4 linked regions of the Drosophila melanogaster genome follow. The gene in region 1 interacts genetically with each later gene. Each region holds a gene or a part of one and is shown in the gene's direction. Other genes may lie near its edges. The genes, in order: Cdk1, Myt1, Z600 and Myb.

Region 1 (4,036 bases):
AGACAATCAGGATAATTTATTTGTATAAAATTGCATTTTATACTGAAATTAAATAGAAAAATTCTAAAAAGAGTAGACTCTGTTATTAAGCTGTGCTATAATTTTAAATTAAATTCAGAAGCTTAAAACACGACGAACCAGGTAAATGGGTTGAAGAAATTTATATAAAAACTTAGTATAAGTGTAATAAGAAAAACTTTGGGTTTCAATAGCTATAACACCATTTGGAAAATCCAATTTTCAAATCTACTATAAACAACGTATAAGGAAAAATAAAGAAAAAATATTAGAAATGTGTTTTTATAATGGTATCATAGCTTCATACAATTTTACTAAGGTCCTCGTTTTTAGTCCCCATAAATCCAGGAATTATTTCGATATTCCGCTCTCTTAAGACATTCCCCGGACACAAATCCTAATCATAGATATTAACAGGTATATGAAAAGTTTATTGCATTGGAAAAACAGTTTGTTGTGCATTTAGCTCCATCGGTAATGTGCGTAGGCGCGGTTGCTTTCGCACAGCCTGTGCAGATCGTCCTTTCGCTTGATGACCCTTCCCTGGCCATGGGCTGCGTCGAGAATCTCCCAGGCCAACTTTTCCGGCAGGGACACCTTACGCTCCTTCTCGCGGGCAGCTTCCAAGAGCCACTTCATGGCCAGAAAATATGACCGCTTCGTGGTGATGGGAACAGGGACTTGATAGGTGACACCACCACGTTTTATGGCGGTCACTTGAAGGAGCGGTCGGCAGTTTTCAACCGCTTGTTTCAGAAGCGTTTCGGGATTGGTGTTTATGGTTGTCTTCTCCCCTTTGGCCAGATTCATGTGCTCCGTCTGGGTTCGTTTTATTAGCTCCAGCGTCTTGGACAAAAGCGTTCTGGCCAAGGCACTGTTCCCCTTTTTCGTTATATAATTGATCATTTTATGTTTTGTATCGTCGTGAAAGATGGTATCAGACGATTTGTTGACCGCCGCCTTGATGGGCACATGGTAAAGCTTGGACAGATCATTCTTTTGCTCTAGTTGTTTATATTTTTGTACAATTGGTTCGACATAGTGTGTGGGATACACCGACATCAATCGAAGGCAGCTACAATAAACAAATGGGTGATCAGTCATTTGTGTTTTTAGAGATAAGTAACACTTTAGAGAAGTTTAACTTACCTGAGCCTTGAAGTTTTCTCTGCAATCCTACCTAAAAGCGACATGTTTACATCGTCTGCTGTGTCGGCAAAAAATAAAAAAACTATGTTATATATATGTTATGCACATTTGCGGCATGCATATAGGTGTGTCAAGATATCGACAAAGAGCTTAGTAATTTTGAAACAACAAAAATGAAGTAAAACAGTTGCGGTATTCCAATTACATTTTTTAAATTAATTTCTTTAGTACCGTACTACTGGTACTCACCTTCAAAAGATATAAAATAGAAATTAATTGCACCAAAAACTCATAAGTTAATTAATAGTATATTAGCAGAAACGTTTGTCTCCGAACTCAAACAAAGTGATGTCTTAATTAATTGAAATCACTATAAAAAAAAGCGTGGAATTTTACAGTACACTAAAATTAACTTTAAAAAAATTAACAACATTTTTAAGATACAGCAATTCAATAAGTTGCCTGAATATTGAGTTTCATTCCCACATTCCAAATGAATAAATGTAGCTAGCTTAGCATCGTTTAAACTGTCTGGTAATACTAGAGCATATACGTCAAAAACGCGCTAATTTAAAAGTCGGTGGCTTGCAAAGAAATAGCTTAATAAATTATGGAGGATTTTGAGAAAATTGAGAAGATTGGCGAGGGCACATATGGCGTGGTGTATAAGGGTCGCAACCGCCTGACGGGCCAAATTGTGGCAATGAAGAAAATCCGCTTGGAGTCCGACGACGAAGGCGTTCCATCAACCGCGATCAGGTAAAATGCCGCGGCTTGGACGCCCAAGCCTCAAAATGTTTCATGTTCTTTCGCGACTTTTCCATTCAAATGGCTTATATGCTTAATTGAAAGTATGTTCCTTGACATCTTATGGGTTGGTTTGAAGATTTTGCAATATTGTTTTTAATTTATACTGTGGAAGTCTAGCATAATTATGTTACGGCTTATGTTCATCATACATATGTGTGTGTATGTACAATCCTATATGCGTACTTATGCTCATGTGTACATCATCATACTTTCTATTTATGTTTATTAATTGGAAGCCTGCGAATACTTTCTGGTTCAACTGATAGACCAATAACTAAAATACTTTAATCACATGTTTTTTCTATAATGTAGTAATATTTAATATCCATTACAGAGAAATTTCGTTGCTTAAGGAGTTGAAACATGAAAACATTGTCTGTTTGGAGGATGTTTTGATGGAGGAGAACCGCATATACTTGATCTTTGAATTCCTATCGATGGACCTCAAGAAATACATGGATTCGCTGCCAGTTGATAAGCACATGGAGAGTGAATTGGTCCGTAGCTATTTGTACCAAATAACTAGCGCCATTCTTTTCTGCCATCGTCGGCGAGTACTTCACCGTGATCTTAAGCCGCAGAACTTACTAATCGACAAGAGTGGCCTCATAAAAGTCGCCGACTTTGGACTTGGCCGATCCTTTGGCATTCCGGTGCGCATTTATACGCACGAGATTGTTACCTTGTGGTACAGAGCGCCGGAGGTGCTACTGGGTTCACCCCGGTATTCCTGTCCCGTCGATATCTGGTCCATTGGATGCATATTCGCGGAGATGGCAACGAGAAAGCCGCTATTCCAGGGTGACTCGGAAATTGACCAGTTGTTTAGAATGTTTAGGTAACCACAGGTAATTTACTTTCTATTCCCTGTGATACTCACACTCATTGATTGCAGAATTCTGAAAACACCTACCGAAGACATTTGGCCGGGCGTTACTTCGCTACCCGACTATAAGAACACGTTCCCCTGCTGGTCCACGAACCAATTGACCAATCAGTTAAAGAATCTCGATGCGAATGGTATTGATCTCATACAAAAGATGTTAATCTACGATCCAGTTCATCGCATTTCCGCCAAGGACATTTTGGAGCATCCCTATTTCAATGGTTTTCAATCGGGCTTAGTTCGAAATTAACGTTCGGTATTCTCGTTTGACTTTAACTAAGAATTTTAAAACAAGAGATCTTGGTATCTAATCTAAAGCAAAATAGCCGTAAATAAAACTAAGGGTGTAAAACAATCAACGTTTACTTAATTTATGTAAGTGTATTTACAGATTTACGCCAAATTACCAGCGCTCTAACAGAATAATAAGGCTTCAAGGCTTTAATTATTATACAAAAAGAAAGTTAAATATGGAAATCCTCGTTGAAACTAGTCCTATTATAGAGAGCACTGCTAGCACCGCTGTCATGACGTCTAAAGACGCCAAAGCAGCCGCGCCTCTTCATCACGTAAGCACCAATGATGGTCGGCACCGCGATGAGCAGGACAACCAAGAGTCCAACCCATATAAGACTGCCCGTCGAACTTTCTATCATATGTTCATTCGCCACTCTGAGCAGCGTAACATCGTTTAACTTGTTCGGACCGCCACATTTGACATCTTTGGCCAGAACGGGCGTGGTCTTGTTGATTCGATCTATCAAGACGTTGATCAAGAAGTCATTGGATTCGTCGCAATTCCACGGGTTGAATCTAAGATCCAGAGCCTTAAGTTTATCCCAGCGCACTAGTAGTTCTTTCGGCAAAGTCGACACGTTGCAATTATTCAAGTAAACCTAAAAGTTTATGTTATTTAGTTGATTAAAGCTCTACATGCTTTTGCACTTGAATTACCTTTTCCAATGGCGGGTAGTCCAAGTACTGGCCACCAGTTACGTTCTTGGATAGAGCCTCCTCATCAATTTCATTTAGCAGTTTGTTGTCGGACAATATCAGTTCAGTTAAACCTAAAGAAAGATGGTTGTTCGATTAAGCCATTAGCCATTAGTGCGCGCAGGTTCACAACTTACTTTGCAGTTCACTAAATGCTCCTGGCCCAATTTTGTACAACTT
Region 2 (4,765 bases), on another chromosome or scaffold:
TGTCAACCACTGCCAGCAGAATGCACAAAACGACTGAGACGAGAACAAGGGAGAGAACCAGCCCGCATGAAGCACAACATTTCCATTAAATCATCAGCTACGAATTTCGAAGGGGTCTCTTATCGCACTCACTCTTAGACTCTCTTAGCTATGGAGTAACTTTAAAGCCGGGAGTAACATTCGCATCGCGTTTACTTGACTTTCGTTTGCTGATATCTTCAACTAGACTCTAATAACAATCATAAATGGGTTTCGCTTTATACACAGAGGTTGGCTTTGCTTAATTTACAGTGCAGAGGCTGCTCCTCCCTTAAGACTAACTTGGGCTTGGGGACCGTAATAAGTTATGAGCATGCTAGCCAGTGCAAGTGGCAGCCACGGGAACACTGGACATGGACACTGGTTTATGGGAACATTTAAAAGTTTCACGAAAGACAATACATTGTGTTAAAATCGTTCGAAAATCTAAAAGAAATGCATTCGCCTATGTGCCTAAACTTAACTTATTAGGTATTACGCGTCCGCGAGACAGGGGACAGGCCTAATCCAGCACCTGGACATTTCAGAGCTCCTGCAAATCCCTTACTTGTAGGACCTCCAAATCTGCCAGGCGCACAGGGCAGCCGAGAGCAAGGATACGCTACGGTGCAAGTATTTGGTTTTTGAGTTGGGCGAGTAGCCCAAAATCACAGGCGAGGAGACATCTGTCAGTGGCAGTTTCTCCAACACGGTGTCATTATTTTCCACCTGAAAAACACAACCAAAGTGAGCTTCTCAATCTTGGATATCTAGAACTTTTCCTTTCATACCTGATATTGACAACATGGATCGTAGTTCCAGGAAACCGTGTACAGTCCTGTGCAAAAAATCGAGAGTGCACAAGCGGGAGCTGCAATGATGGGGCGATCCCGCCACAGCAAGCTGGCCACCAGGGAAACCACTCCAGTGGCCACCGCCGTCTTGTGCAGGCAATTGCCCACCCAAATCCAACGACCTGTGGAGATATGAAATTAATACTGTGCTTTAAAAGGAAGCACTTCCAAGTGCTTACCAGTTTCGTCGCCCAGCCGAGGCGGCTCTATAACGATGAAGTCCAACTTGGCTTCCAGCGCCTTGTCCAGCTCAGCCTCGAATCTTTCATGGGCATTGGAGCTGTCGTAGACCTCGCGGATGACATGGAAAGTGGGCACCTTACTCGTGCTGCACAATTAGAACAACAATACACGAATCAATCATGGTTATCTTGATGTGGAACTCAAGGTTAAGGTCAAGATCAAGCGCTCAGAACAACCGAAGCAGAGAAGCCATTGTGCAGACGAGATAAATGAAGAAGCCGCCTAGTAAATTGCATAACCAGGGCAGGTGCACTTGGGAACTGGGATTTGGCTGCACCCAGGTGGAATGTGTTGCGTAATCCCACTGCATTCACGTAACTAGGCGCCGTATTTACCTTTCTATATTTCTGCTAACCATTTTGCTAATAAATTTGTTGTTTTCTATGTTGTTCATAAACTCAGTGCGGCCGCAGCTGGACCGTTAAAATATACCAGGTACCTAAGGGCATAATACTGCAAATAGCAATCTTCCAAAAAAATACCGCAGTTGGGCGGCACTTTTGAATTATATCGTATTCGCAAATACCATTCTCCTTTAAAGAGCGGCCTATATATAAAGGCTTAATTCCACTATTTAGCAATTTATTTGCTTATTTACCTATATTCATAAAGACAATTAGATTAGATTAAAGTTTTTAAAAATATTTCAGTATTTCTATTGTTCTTCCAACTACTCAACTCTCCCATCTCTATTTACGATAATTGAGGCATTTAAGAGGCAAATCATGTAAAATCTGTATACGATTATAGGAGCTTAACTTAATTGAAATCAATAATTATACTCCCAATAAAGATCAAAAATATAAGATACATGTGTTAAATGAATTAGCCGGCTCTTATTGTCCCAAGCGAAGAAGCCAGGATTTCGCCGGCTGTCCGATATGGTCACACTCGCCCACTCATAAGAAAAGACACCCAAAATTGAAAATGGAAAAGCATCATCGCCTGCCCCTCCCGGAATTGCACGACGACAAACACAGACACAAACAGTGCAATGGGGAGAACAGCAATCGCTTCCGGCCGCCCAAGTACAAGACGCGTGGCTACGTCGCCGTGGACAACAACAATCTGAACCGAAGCCAATCGCTGGGCTCCTGTAGCACCAACAGTTCCCAGATCGCGCACGCGATCTCCTTCCGGGACGCCGGATGTTCGGATTCCAGTACGCTGCCCTCGTCACCAGTCCAGGCCGAGCTGAGCACCCTCTCCCTGTCACACTTCGAGCAGTGCTTCGAAAGGCTGGCCAAACTGGGCGAAGGATCCTTCGGCGAGGTATTCCAGGTGCGCGATCGCTCCGACGGCCAGTTATATGCCGTCAAGATCTCCAAGCAACTGTTCCGCGGCGAACAGTACCGCGCAGAGCGGCTGGAAGAGGTGCGGCGCTACGAGGAGTTCTCCGGCCATGAGAACTGCATCCGGTTCATCCGCGCCTGGGAGCAGTACGACCGACTGTACATGCAAATGGAGCTGTGCCGCGAAAGTCTGGAGCAGTACTTGCTGCGCTGCCAAAGGATACCGGAGGAGCGCATCTGGCACATCCTGCTGGATCTGCTGCGGGGTCTCAAGTCGCTGCACGACCGGAATCTCATCCATCTGGACATTAAACTGGACAACGTTCTGATCGGCGAGGACGACGAGACGTGCAAGCTGGCAGACTTTGGACTGGTCATCGATGTGGACAGGGCCAACAGCCATCACGCCACGGAGGGAGATTCGAGGTATATGGCTCCAGAGATCCTGCAGGGTCACTTCTCCAAGGCTGCGGACATCTTCAGTCTGGGCATTGCCATGCTAGAGCTGGCATGCTACATGGATCTTCCTTCCAACGGCCCACTGTGGCACGAACTGAGGCACGGCATTCTGCCCGAGGAGTTCATAAACAGTGAGTTGCGAACTAGCTGCCTACTTAAATGGCAGGTTGCTAAAGCCTTTCTCTTCGCACAGAAATATCACTGGAGCTGCAGTCGGTAATTAAGTCCATGATGAAGCCCGATCCTGCGCAGAGGCCGACGGCCGAGCAGCTACTCTCACATCCCAAGCTGCAGTACCTGCAAAAGAAGCGCAAGTCGCTGATGAACTTCAGCATGCTGGTAAGCATTCCCAAGCACATCTTTGAGAATCAATCTTAACCCTTGACAACTTGCAGTCGCGTAGTTTTAGGCGATCTCGCCGCGCCGTTTGGGGAAGAATGTGCAATTGGAAAACAGCCGCCTTTCGTTACCTTCTATACTTCCTGGAGGTCCTGCATCTATGCAAGCCCATAACGGCCTCACAGCCCAATATTAACATAGTGCCCTCCTCGCCTTCGTCAAAGGGAGTGCCTCTGGTGCCTCAGGTGGAGTTCCAGCTGGTAGGATCCACACCCATTGCCAATCGTGACTGCTATGCCTCCGACTTCCTTTCCGGCGAGGACCCGCTGGACCTCTCCAATCAGGGTAGCCCCAACGTAATAAATTCCACGCCATTGAACACAAACCAAGGCAAATCCCGTCTGGATTTGCTAAAGAATAAGTAAGTACCCTTAATCGATTAGCTCATGGACTAGCGCACATAACCCATCCGCTTTCAGTGTTGATTCAATGGGCAGGTACGTTCATGTACACGATTTCGAGAGTCCGTGTTCCGCCCTATCTTCCGCCAAGGTCCTGGACACCTCATCGTTCCGACGCAAAAAGCTCTTCGTCCTGGAATATGACGACGAGTGAGTGAGTACGGTGCCAGCGAGCAACGTAAACCGAATGAATTTATGATAAACCCAATATATATCAGTTACGAAACGAATACCAGATACATATGGCAACAGAATATATCGTTAATTGTATTTTGATTAGTTCTAGACCGTAGTGTTGTACGAAGTTCCCTAGATATAGTCTTACGATTGTGTAATGTTAATGCTTCTTTAGAAGAACTTGTTGAACTTGAACATATAATCATGTGATATATATACGAAAAGCGATTTGAAAAGTTTAAAAATAAAAAACTTATTGAAATTGAAACCTGCACTGAATGCCATCTATGACATATGATAACAACAAATTAAAGGTAAAAACCAAGAAACGTATAACTATAAAAATTTTTTTTAAAACATTTTTGAATTCTAACGTACCTTTCGTTTCGGGGAAAAGTATTTTGCCCATCTGGTAACACTGGCCGCTCGCACATGTTGAAAACGTAAACAAAAACGAGTAGCACAATTTTTGAAAATGACCAGGAAAAAGGCTCCTAAGAAAAAAACAGAGGTTGTATTCGACAACAAGAAACGCATGTAAGTAAGGAGACACAGAATCCCCGGAGGATACTAATGCCCACATCCCAATCCCGCAGAGAGTTTCTCAGTGGCTTCCGGAAAAGAAAGAATGAGCGACGATCGCGTGCAAAGGCGGATCTGGAAAGAAACCTTAAGAACGAGCGCAAGCGCATACGGCAGGAGGTAAAGGATGGCTTTAACCACCTGAAGAAATCCTTCGAACCGCTGCGCGAGCTCACCGAGGAGGACAAGGCCGAGGAGGCGGAGCAGCAGCAGGAGGAGACCTACGAAGATGATGAAGTGCAGGTGAAGATCGTGGAGCTGACCACCAACGATCTGGCCGCCAAGCGCAATATGTTGGGTGCCAACACGGCAGAGGAAAGCGAACCGGAGGAGCAGGCTG
Region 3 (2,959 bases), on another chromosome or scaffold:
TAATCAGCCTTGTTTTGGCACAACCTGTGCCGAGCATTGCCGCGAAGTTACGTTGGAGCCGTGACGTAACGGACGTGGAAAAGTCAATGCCTCAATGGCCTCAATGGGCATTTAAATTAAAATGGAGCCGATAACCGACGCCTGACCCACGTGTTTCCAATGGGTCTCCCCTAGCGAGAATAAGACTACTTGCTCGGGAGCAATTAGCATTACTGTGCTAGGTCGCCACGGATTCTTGCGATAAAATGTCAGTGCGATAAGACGAGGGTCTTGAACCCCAGTCCGCGTTTTCCCCCGTCACTTTTCCCGCTTTCCACATTTCACCATGTGCCATCCGTTTGCATAAGCACCCAAGATTTGGGTATGGTTACATATGAGCATGGCATTCTTACTTTTTGTGCTCCTCGGGACTGTTCAGATCGAAACTAGCGTTCTTGCGGCCGCTCTCCTTGATGCTTTCGAATTTTTCAAAATTTGGTGCCAGGCCTGCGGATGGAAAACATGCCATGGAAAGCTATAAAATACGCATTTACTGTGGAAAACGCCGGCAAAACAAAAAGTTAACAGAGCCAGAGAGCAAGAGAGGCAGAGGCAGATATATAGAGAGAGAGAGAGAGAGAAAGGAAAAGAGTATGTTTTTGTGACATAACAGCTGTTCTCTTGAAAGGGTCTATTGTGGCATTATTAACCATTATTACTATCAATATTTTGGACTCACCGCGACGCGTTTTAGCAACAATTTTGCTAGGTCCCTTGTTGATTGTGTACATGGTGGTGGGGAGATGGGGAGTACCGGCTGAAAATATACCTTGTCCTTTCGATTTACGTATTGTTGTTTTCGTTTCTGGCAACGAAATGCCTAGCCGACTGCTATGATTTTGAGTATTTTTCCGCTCTAGGCAATCATATGATCATTGGCAGCCCAGCCTGCCCCACGCCGCCTCCTTTTGGCCTATTGTCATCGTCTCAAAAGGTTACACAATACACTTCACTTAGGGCAGTGATTCCGATTTAGCACTCTTTGATTTTGATGGCTGCCGCACCGCGCTCGTATCAATTGTTTTCGATTAAAATCACCGACAATTACTCCTGGAAACGCGTTTGTAATGTTCTGTGTTCGGCGGACGAGGCTCCAATGCAACTGCCCCATTCAAATCGCATAACGAAATGTTAAGAGAGACACCCGCAAAGAGCCGTATGTTAGGGCGTTCATGCGGCAGACAACTCGACTTTCAGCAGATCATAATTTCTTCATGGCAGTAACCCACGGCAGTGATTTTATTTGATAAGCGTTTATTTCTTTAGGCTTTCAACTATAATGGGCACTATCAATTGTTTAGTAAAGTCTTTATTTTATAATAGCAATCAGCTTTAGGTTTCGTAGTTCGCGAAGTCGATTAACGCATAAACTGTACAACCGATACACGTGTATGCCCACCATATGATTTCGCCAGTATGTACACACTTTAAAACGGCAGTGGGTTCTTTCACCTGCGCGCGTTTTTTTAAAAGCGTATTAATTGATTAGAGGCTACATTTAAAAGATTGGATTATTGAAAGCATTTAGAGATCCAATATAATTGAAAGCATTTGGAGATCCAATAAATTATATTTTTATATTATCTTTAAGGAATTATTATCTATAAAGTAAGAAATTAATATACTCCATTAAAAAGTTATGCACTTTAAACACCAAATTTGGAAATTGTTACGAATTCCTTTCTAATTTATTGCGATTTGTAAAAGGCGGACTTTATGGCGGTAGACTAAAACCCATTACTACCTGCTCGCGTAATTCTGAACGCATTAAAAAGGGATTAGCGAGAATTTTCTGCGGAAATTTTAATTATGAGCAGGTAGCACCATAAAAGTGACAGATGTGGAAAACGGATAAGCTGTATTTTCCGCGCAGATATTTATGGCAGTCCTGAAATTGCACACTCAAGTGGATATAAAGAAGGCCGTGGGCAAAAGGAAATCAGTAGCAAATCAGCAACGTCAAGCTTCACATTAACTTCCTGATCAGCCAGCCTAGCAGTTATTATGTCGTCGACAAATGAAACCAACCAAGTGCTGCAGCGCCTGAACAGCCTGAAAATCGTGGAAACCCCAAAGGAGCAGCATGAGTTCGGAAAACGCGAGTGCTACTCCCTGGACAGCAAGAAGTATTCCCTGGTACCAGCCACCCCCAGCAGCTCAGGACACGGAAAGTTCCAAACCGAACTCAAAAAGCGCCGCAAAAACAAACTGAATCGCATGTACACTTACGAGGCTGATAAGAATTTCATCAAGGCTCGCAAATCTTTGAACTTCTAATCATAATACGAACCGATGTAATCACCTTAGTCATAAGCATCATTGATTTCAAATCGTACAGTCACAATTCTTTTCACGCTCTGATACAACAAAAATATATATAAATACTTTTGAAACATTTTACTTTCCGCGTCTTTCTCTGACTTACCGTTATGTGGGCAGCCAAACTGATTGTGGTCACACTGCTGCTGCTGCAGTTTGCAGCCCTGGCGCTCAGCTGTTCGTGCGGCGAAGAGGCGAAATTGGAGTGCGGTTGCACAAAACATCACTAAAAACACAAATACTTGGGAATATTACACAAATTATTGTAAATAAATAGGAAATCACAATTTAGTTAAGATGGCGGACATACCGGCAACCAGCGAAGGTAGTGCGAACACTAGTGAGGCAGTAGTGGAGTATCAGCAGCCAACTCCGGAGTTTTTACAACGCAAAATCTATTTTTTGGTGGACCAATTGCGAACTTACCATTCGGAACTTCCCGAGTAAGTCCTTGATATTTAGTTTATTTAAATATTTAACGCCATTTTTGATTAACAGAAACTTGCAGACACGCATTTCCTACGATCTACTCACCGAACTCGCCAATTGTGTGCTAAACGATGGCATTTTTGTAATAGTAAAAGCATTAATGGAGCTGCAA
Region 4 (5,915 bases), on another chromosome or scaffold:
ACGGAGAGAGCCGGCAAATATACCAACTTGTCTTTATTTATTCAAAGTTTATTTGTCAAAAGACGTTATATTTTAAAAACATATTTTATTTTATATAAACAATGTGGTACCCCTTTCTTTTGAACCGAATATAGTATTAAGCACGCCCCCTCACATGAAAGTAAAATAACTACAACATATATAAATATATAAATATGTCATATAAATATACCATTTTCTTATTTCAACTCCTTTTTTAATATTAATTCATAAAAATATAAAAAATAAAGATCTATTATCGCTCTGAAGTGTAATGTTCCCACTTGATTTTTTCCTGTGCAACCCTTAAGACGTATCTTCGACCGAAATAATGAAAACGATCACTGCAAAAACGTAAACAATGAAAAAATCGGTCTCAAAACAACAAAAATATTTCAAAATAGTTAAAAGTCCCGTTCATATATCGATAACTTTATATCGATAAGATTAATCACAAATGAATCACCTCATGAAAAAAGGCTTAAAATTTTTTCCATGAAAAGGACATTCGAGCTTTTTCGGCAATGTCTCTTATGAATTGCATTCATTTTTAATTTTTATATCTATCCCATAGTATTTCCACCACATGTCTGATTTCTAAACGTGCTCAAAAGCATTTAAGATTTCTCCAAACGCAGTCACACTATTGCTATCGTTTATATTAACTTATTGTTTATATTGTACTTATTGTTTATGAAGCATGTTCAAGCTAGTTTTTAAGCAGTACAAGTGCAAAAGTACCAGTCCTGATTTAACGGAAGTTGTTAAGATCGATGATTGTGTAGTCAAGGGGAATGATCAAGAAAAGAGTGATAATGTAAGTACTCGATCCGTTGCAATTGAATTATGATTTCTACATTCCCCTCAGAATATTGTTCAACGATTAAGTATCAGCAATGTAGAAAGCCTACAGACAATGCCAGGCGTTAAATCGCCAAAAGATTGGCGAACCTATACATTAACTAACCATCCCGGCATTATTGTGATTCGGAATCCATTCTCGGAACGAGGCCGGCGTTATTGGAGCGCCCGATGTCTGCGGGATTTTCCGCGAACGCCAAATATAGTCAATTTAAATGAAAGGCTCTTCGATGAATCCGTCAGGTCGGACTGGTGGAAACAGCTTAATCTGTGCAGCGATGGCGTTGAGTTCCAACGTATAAAATCCGCGATGCGTTGGACGACATTTGGATATCATCACAACTGGGACACGAAGATCTATGATGAGGAGATGCAGTCGCCGTTTCCCGAAGATTTGAGCAGTCTATGCGGATTGTTTGCGCAAGCGTTGGGATACGCGGATTTTAAGCCAGAAGCCGCAATTGTAAATTACTATCCAGTTGGTAGTACGTTATCGGGTCACACAGATCACTCTGAACCAAACAAATCGGCCCCTTTGTTTTCTTTTAGGTAATATATCACGGATTAAACATATCCGTGCAGCTAATTTTTTTTTAATTTTATGCTTACAGTTTTGGTCAGACTGCAATATTTCTAATTGGTGGAAGATCTTTAGAAGAAAAGCCAACCGCTATCTACCTTCAATCCGGGGACGTTATGATAATGTCCGGAGAATCGCGTCTATGCTATCACGCAGTTCCTCGTATCATCAAAACTCAGGCTTCCGCGACTTTATCACTGATAATTGAAGATGTCGATAATGCAGATATTAAAACGCGTACAATTGATAAAGATTTATTTCATGATGTTGGCAACCCTCAATTTTGGGAGCCTTTTTCGAGATATATGGACGATTCACGTATTAATATTAATATACGTCAAGTTTTAAATCCAGGAGATGTTAAGCTTTAACCCCTCCTTGGAAAAATTTTTAATTTTATAGTATTTTACAAAATAAAAAACTGCATTTCAATTGAAAACTAAAGAAACATAGCAATTAACGTTGAAGTGATGCGTTCAATGGAAATATCTTAAATGTATAGGTGAAGTTAATAGTTTTATAAATATATTTTTCAGTCCCTATAAATGCTACTGACAACTAAATTTGGCAATTCTGACAAAATTATTTTATCCGATGGCAACTTTTTAACAATATTTCCAAGAAGTTGATAGCTAAATATCGATACTATCCCAGCTATCGTACAAGATATTGACTTCTAGTGGAAACGTGCCGATTACCGTAGTGATTATTTATCGATAGATTTTAATCGTTTTGAATTACAACGCTAGTGCTCGTGTAACGGTCACACTAAGTACTACATTTAATATAATAAGATGCGACGCCGTAAAATTCCAGTGTGAAAACGTGAATGAACTGATCAAAAACACCAAAGTGTGTACCCATAGCCCAGCAGTTTGAATTTGAAATAACGGTAGCACCACTTTAGATGAAGACAAATGTGCGAGTGGTAATTTTTTTCCCCCGTTTTCCTCAGTGCTAAATATAGAGCATCAAAATGTTTGGCATAAACGTAATATCGTAAAACTTGCATCTGCTTTTTAGTTCGCTGCCTGAATGAGTATGTCCACAAATATCTGTAATCTTCAAGTAACAAAGAACACGAATCCAAACCAAAATCGCCTCGAGGAGCAGCAAACAAAACTATTCGATTTTGGGCGGACCGAGAGCGATGCGACGCACCCAATATTGCGCAGCGATCATCAACGTGAACTGGTCGACTGCCTGACGTGCGGAAATCAATTCAAGTGTAACTCGTACAGCGACATTTGCTCGCACTACATATTCTACCATCCGCATATTCTGGATCATTTGCCCAAGTGCTTGTACTGCAAACGCGACGTTCATCGTTTCCAGCGTGGGAACAAGTCAGAGCCGGAGATCTATCACTTTTGTTCGCCCCGCAAGCAGCGTTAAAGAACCCATACACATATATACAAAGAGCGCCATTATTCATATATATATACCTATAAAGTTGATCTTAAGATGGCAAGTGCGAGCACTGAAAACGGCGAGGAGCTGATGAATTACGGCAGCAATTCGGATTCGGAGGAGTCCGAGTACTCGGAGAACGAGGATACCCAAGTTTGCGACAAGGATTCACAACAGAACAGCAATGCCGATTCGGGCTATCCACTGGACTCGCCCGAACTACAGGACTCCAAGACGACGGGGCAAAAGGGACAGAACAAAAGCGGTAAAACTAGCATCGGTGCAGTGCATCCGAACTATGGATTCGGCAAACGCTGGTCCAAGTCCGAGGATGTGTTGCTCAAGCAGCTGGTGGAGACGCACGGTGAGAACTGGGAGATTATCGGACCGCATTTCAAGGATCGCCTGGAACAGCAAGTGCAGCAGCGTTGGGCCAAAGTCCTCAATCCGGAGCTAATCAAGGGCCCGTGGACGCGGGACGAGGACGACATGGTTATTAAGCTGGTGCGCAACTTCGGGCCCAAGAAATGGACACTAATTGCACGATATCTGAACGGACGAATTGGGAAACAGTGCCGCGAGAGATGGCACAACCACCTCAATCCGAATATCAAGAAAACGGCCTGGACCGAAAAGGAGGACGAGATTATCTACCAGGCTCACTTGGAGCTGGGCAACCAGTGGGCAAAGATTGCCAAACGTCTGCCCGGACGCACCGATAACGCCATTAAAAACCATTGGAATTCAACAATGCGTCGCAAATATGACGTCGAACGCAGATCGGTTAATGCATCTGGTAGCGATTTGAAGAGTTCGCGAACCCATCTCATCACGCTGATCAAGTCCGGTGGCATCAGCAAGTGTATGAATAATATGCAACATAACAAGGAATCTGGTGGTGAGGCAGTTAATAAATCCGAAAACGCCGATGGCGCTTCGGTTACTGCCGTGAAAGGTGGTGATCTGGCACAGGAATCACAAGACGATCATCAAAAGGGATCCAATCTGGCACACCTCAGTATGCAGCATCTCATTAAGTTGACCATGCCGCGCCAAACACCGATCATATTGAAGCGTACACGCAAACACATTCCCGAAACTCACCATCAGGCAGGATGTTCATCAAGTGAGACATTCAACCAGGAAGAAGCCGCCGGAAACGCCAGGTCGCGACCACCGAGTTCGCCCGTCATATCGCCCATTAAGTCGCTACCCTTTTCACCGAGTCACTTCCTCAAGTCGCCTTGCCTGACCACCTTTGAAGATATGGATCTGCGGGCTAGCACGCCGGTAACCAAGGTCTATAATCGCGTTGGAATGGAGATCAAAAAGGAAATGGAGACATCGTCGATAGAAACTCCACACAAGAGTAAGTACAAGCCACTGTTGGCTTCAAATGCATCTTGAATACACACAATCATCGTTATTTGTAGGTCAACTTGGACCACGAACACCAACGCCCTTCAAAAAGGCACTTGCTGCCATCGGCAAGAAGAGGGACGGTCGTCGATACGAGCCCTCCAGCCCATCCAGTCTGGTGGAGGATCTGGCCGAAATCATCCATGAAGAGCATCTGAGCAACTCGCTGACCGCAAACAATTCCAAAATGATGGGCGCCGCCGATCAGAACTCAACGCTAAGCACCGAATACAATGCTCAGTCGCCGCCGCATATGAAACGTGCCAGGAAGTCATTGCTCTCAACTTGGAGCTCCAATCATCCATACAACGCTGGCTCCGCCAAGAGGATTCAACCCTTCGAAACCGAGACGCCCAGCAAGTTTCTCACATCGCCGGGCGATATTTTGAAGGACACGCTGTGCAGCGAACAGGACCTGCCGTTCGACGAGGGCAGAAAGGAGAATCGACCATTCCATAATCGCAGAATTAACAAGTACCGCGGTGGCTTGACCTACGATCATGTCATTGATCCCAAGTGGGCACGCGTCGCTTGTGGCAAGTCCAGAGATCAAATGTTTATGGAGGAGCAGGCTTATGCGTGCCTCAAAAATCTGTCCTGTATTTCGCGCTCCCTGAACTTCGAGAAACAAAAGTGTTTGGTGAATTCGTTCGACCGCTTTGGTTCGCTCTAAATTCTATGTGGCTATATTCAGGTATTACAAACAAAATTCTATACGCATCATCTTTATAATATTGTAGATATGAATCCCCAAATTTTCATCCAAATTGTGTTTTCGAAATAGAATTTATTGTGCTACATTTATGGCATTATTGGTTACATCCACCTTAAATTGTATCCCATTTTTTTCGGATATTTCATAAATAAATAAATGCTTAAAGTGAATGAAGCGTGTTTTAACACAAAGGACTTACATATATATATCGTTTTTTTTTGGCTTTGTAGGTTACAGAAGAGAGATATATTTATTCAAAAATATATCTATTATATTACAGAGAATATTTTGATAGACATTTGCCAAACCTTCGATTTCTAACTTTGTTCGTCTGCAATATGTTTATTGAATATGTCCAGATATTTTGGCACTAGTTCTTTCGCCGAAAAACGATCGAAATTAAAGTTCTCAAAGAATTGATCGCGCTGCTTGCGAAAGACCCTCGGCATTCTACAAAAGTTGTAGAGCTTCTTCGTCAGCGCATTGGAGGTGTTGTAGAGGTTTTCCTTTGGGTAGATTTCCGGGTAGACCAATTTGTTGGGCGCAATGGGATAACAGCCGCAGAAAGCGGCCTCCAGCATTGCTACTCCAAAAAACTCATGGTCGGCAGTTGATATCACAATGTCCCCAGTCAGCAGGGTCTTCAAGTACTCTTCACGCTCCAGATGGCCAAAGTTCACCAGCTTGCTGCCCAGTTTCTCCTGTATATGCTCGAATTCCTCCGGTATCTCCTGGTAACTCTCGCCACAAATAGTCACCTTGAAGTCCACTTGTCGCTCATGGAGCTGACAGAGCGTATCCACCAGTAGTTTGGGATTCTTATCGTGCTCCCAGCGATGTGGCCAAATAAGATGGATGCACTTCTCATCCAGATCCTCAGCAGTCTCCCCCTTTACGCACTCCTTCCGAATG

Evidence for each region.
Region 2: of Cdk1 (region 1) and Myt1, changing one enhances a phenotype caused by changing the other (phenotypic enhancement), as found in Drosophila melanogaster (one study listed by BioGRID).
Region 3: of Cdk1 (region 1) and Z600, changing one suppresses a phenotype caused by changing the other (phenotypic suppression), as found in Drosophila melanogaster (one study listed by BioGRID).
Region 4: of Cdk1 (region 1) and Myb, changing one suppresses a phenotype caused by changing the other (phenotypic suppression), as found in Drosophila melanogaster (2 studies listed by BioGRID).

Annotation. Positions count from the first base shown.
Region 1 is NT_033779.5:10,383,919-10,387,954, reverse strand, and holds Cdk1 (Cyclin-dependent kinase 1), read left to right. Parts: upstream 1-1,692; 5' UTR 1,693-1,777; coding exon 1,778-1,926; intron 1,927-2,311; coding exon 2,312-2,815; intron 2,816-2,872; coding exon 2,873-3,113; 3' UTR 3,114-3,216; downstream 3,217-4,036. Other genes in the region: mRpS7 (mitochondrial ribosomal protein S7), read right to left, coding at 481-1,093, 1,168-1,211; CG5096 (uncharacterized protein), read right to left, coding at 3,328-3,759, 3,818-3,930, 3,994-4,036. UniProt on the Drosophila melanogaster protein: Plays a key role in the control of the eukaryotic cell cycle. Required for entry into S-phase and mitosis.
Region 2 is NT_037436.4:5,776,819-5,781,583, reverse strand, and holds Myt1 (Myt1), read left to right. Parts: upstream 1-1,992; 5' UTR 1,993-2,042; coding exon 2,043-2,997; intron 2,998-3,059; coding exon 3,060-3,205; intron 3,206-3,261; coding exon 3,262-3,626; intron 3,627-3,684; coding exon 3,685-3,820; 3' UTR 3,821-4,108; downstream 4,109-4,765. Other genes in the region: Pmi, read right to left, coding at 3-33, 587-747, 810-994, 1,052-1,200, 1,451-1,473; vito (viriato), read left to right, coding at 4,319-4,380, 4,440-4,765. UniProt on the Drosophila melanogaster protein: Acts as a negative regulator of entry into mitosis (G2 to M transition) by phosphorylation of Cdk1 specifically when Cdk1 is complexed to cyclins. Mediates phosphorylation of Cdk1 predominantly on 'Thr-14'. Also involved in Golgi fragmentation.
Region 3 is NT_037436.4:15,507,081-15,510,039, forward strand, and holds Z600 (Z600), read left to right. Parts: upstream 1-1,980; 5' UTR 1,981-2,043; coding exon 2,044-2,316; 3' UTR 2,317-2,433; downstream 2,434-2,959. Other genes in the region: CG7841 (uncharacterized protein), read right to left, coding at 393-486, 719-770; gdl-ORF39, read left to right, coding at 2,469-2,588; gdl (gonadal), read left to right, coding at 2,656-2,801, 2,857-2,959. UniProt on the Drosophila melanogaster protein: Cell cycle regulator that is involved in modulating and adjusting cell proliferation according to the requirements of the developmental program. Interacts with mitotic Cdk1-cyclin complexes to inhibit mitotic entry at the G2/M transition.
Region 4 is NC_004354.4:15,854,113-15,860,027, reverse strand, and holds Myb (Myb oncogene-like), read left to right. Parts: upstream 1-2,204; 5' UTR 2,205-2,351; exon of another isoform or gene 2,352-2,414; 5' UTR 2,415-2,500; coding exon of another isoform or gene 2,501-2,854; 5' UTR 2,855-2,923; coding exon 2,924-4,238; intron 4,239-4,302; coding exon 4,303-4,961; 3' UTR 4,962-5,196; downstream 5,197-5,915. Other genes in the region: AlkB, read left to right, coding at 719-835, 887-1,428, 1,491-1,830; CG46440 (uncharacterized protein), read left to right, coding at 2,501-2,854; CG15914 (uncharacterized protein), read right to left, coding at 5,321-5,915. UniProt on the Drosophila melanogaster protein: DNA-binding protein that specifically recognizes the sequence 5'-YAAC[GT]G-3'. Component of the DREAM complex, a multiprotein complex that can both act as a transcription activator or repressor depending on the context.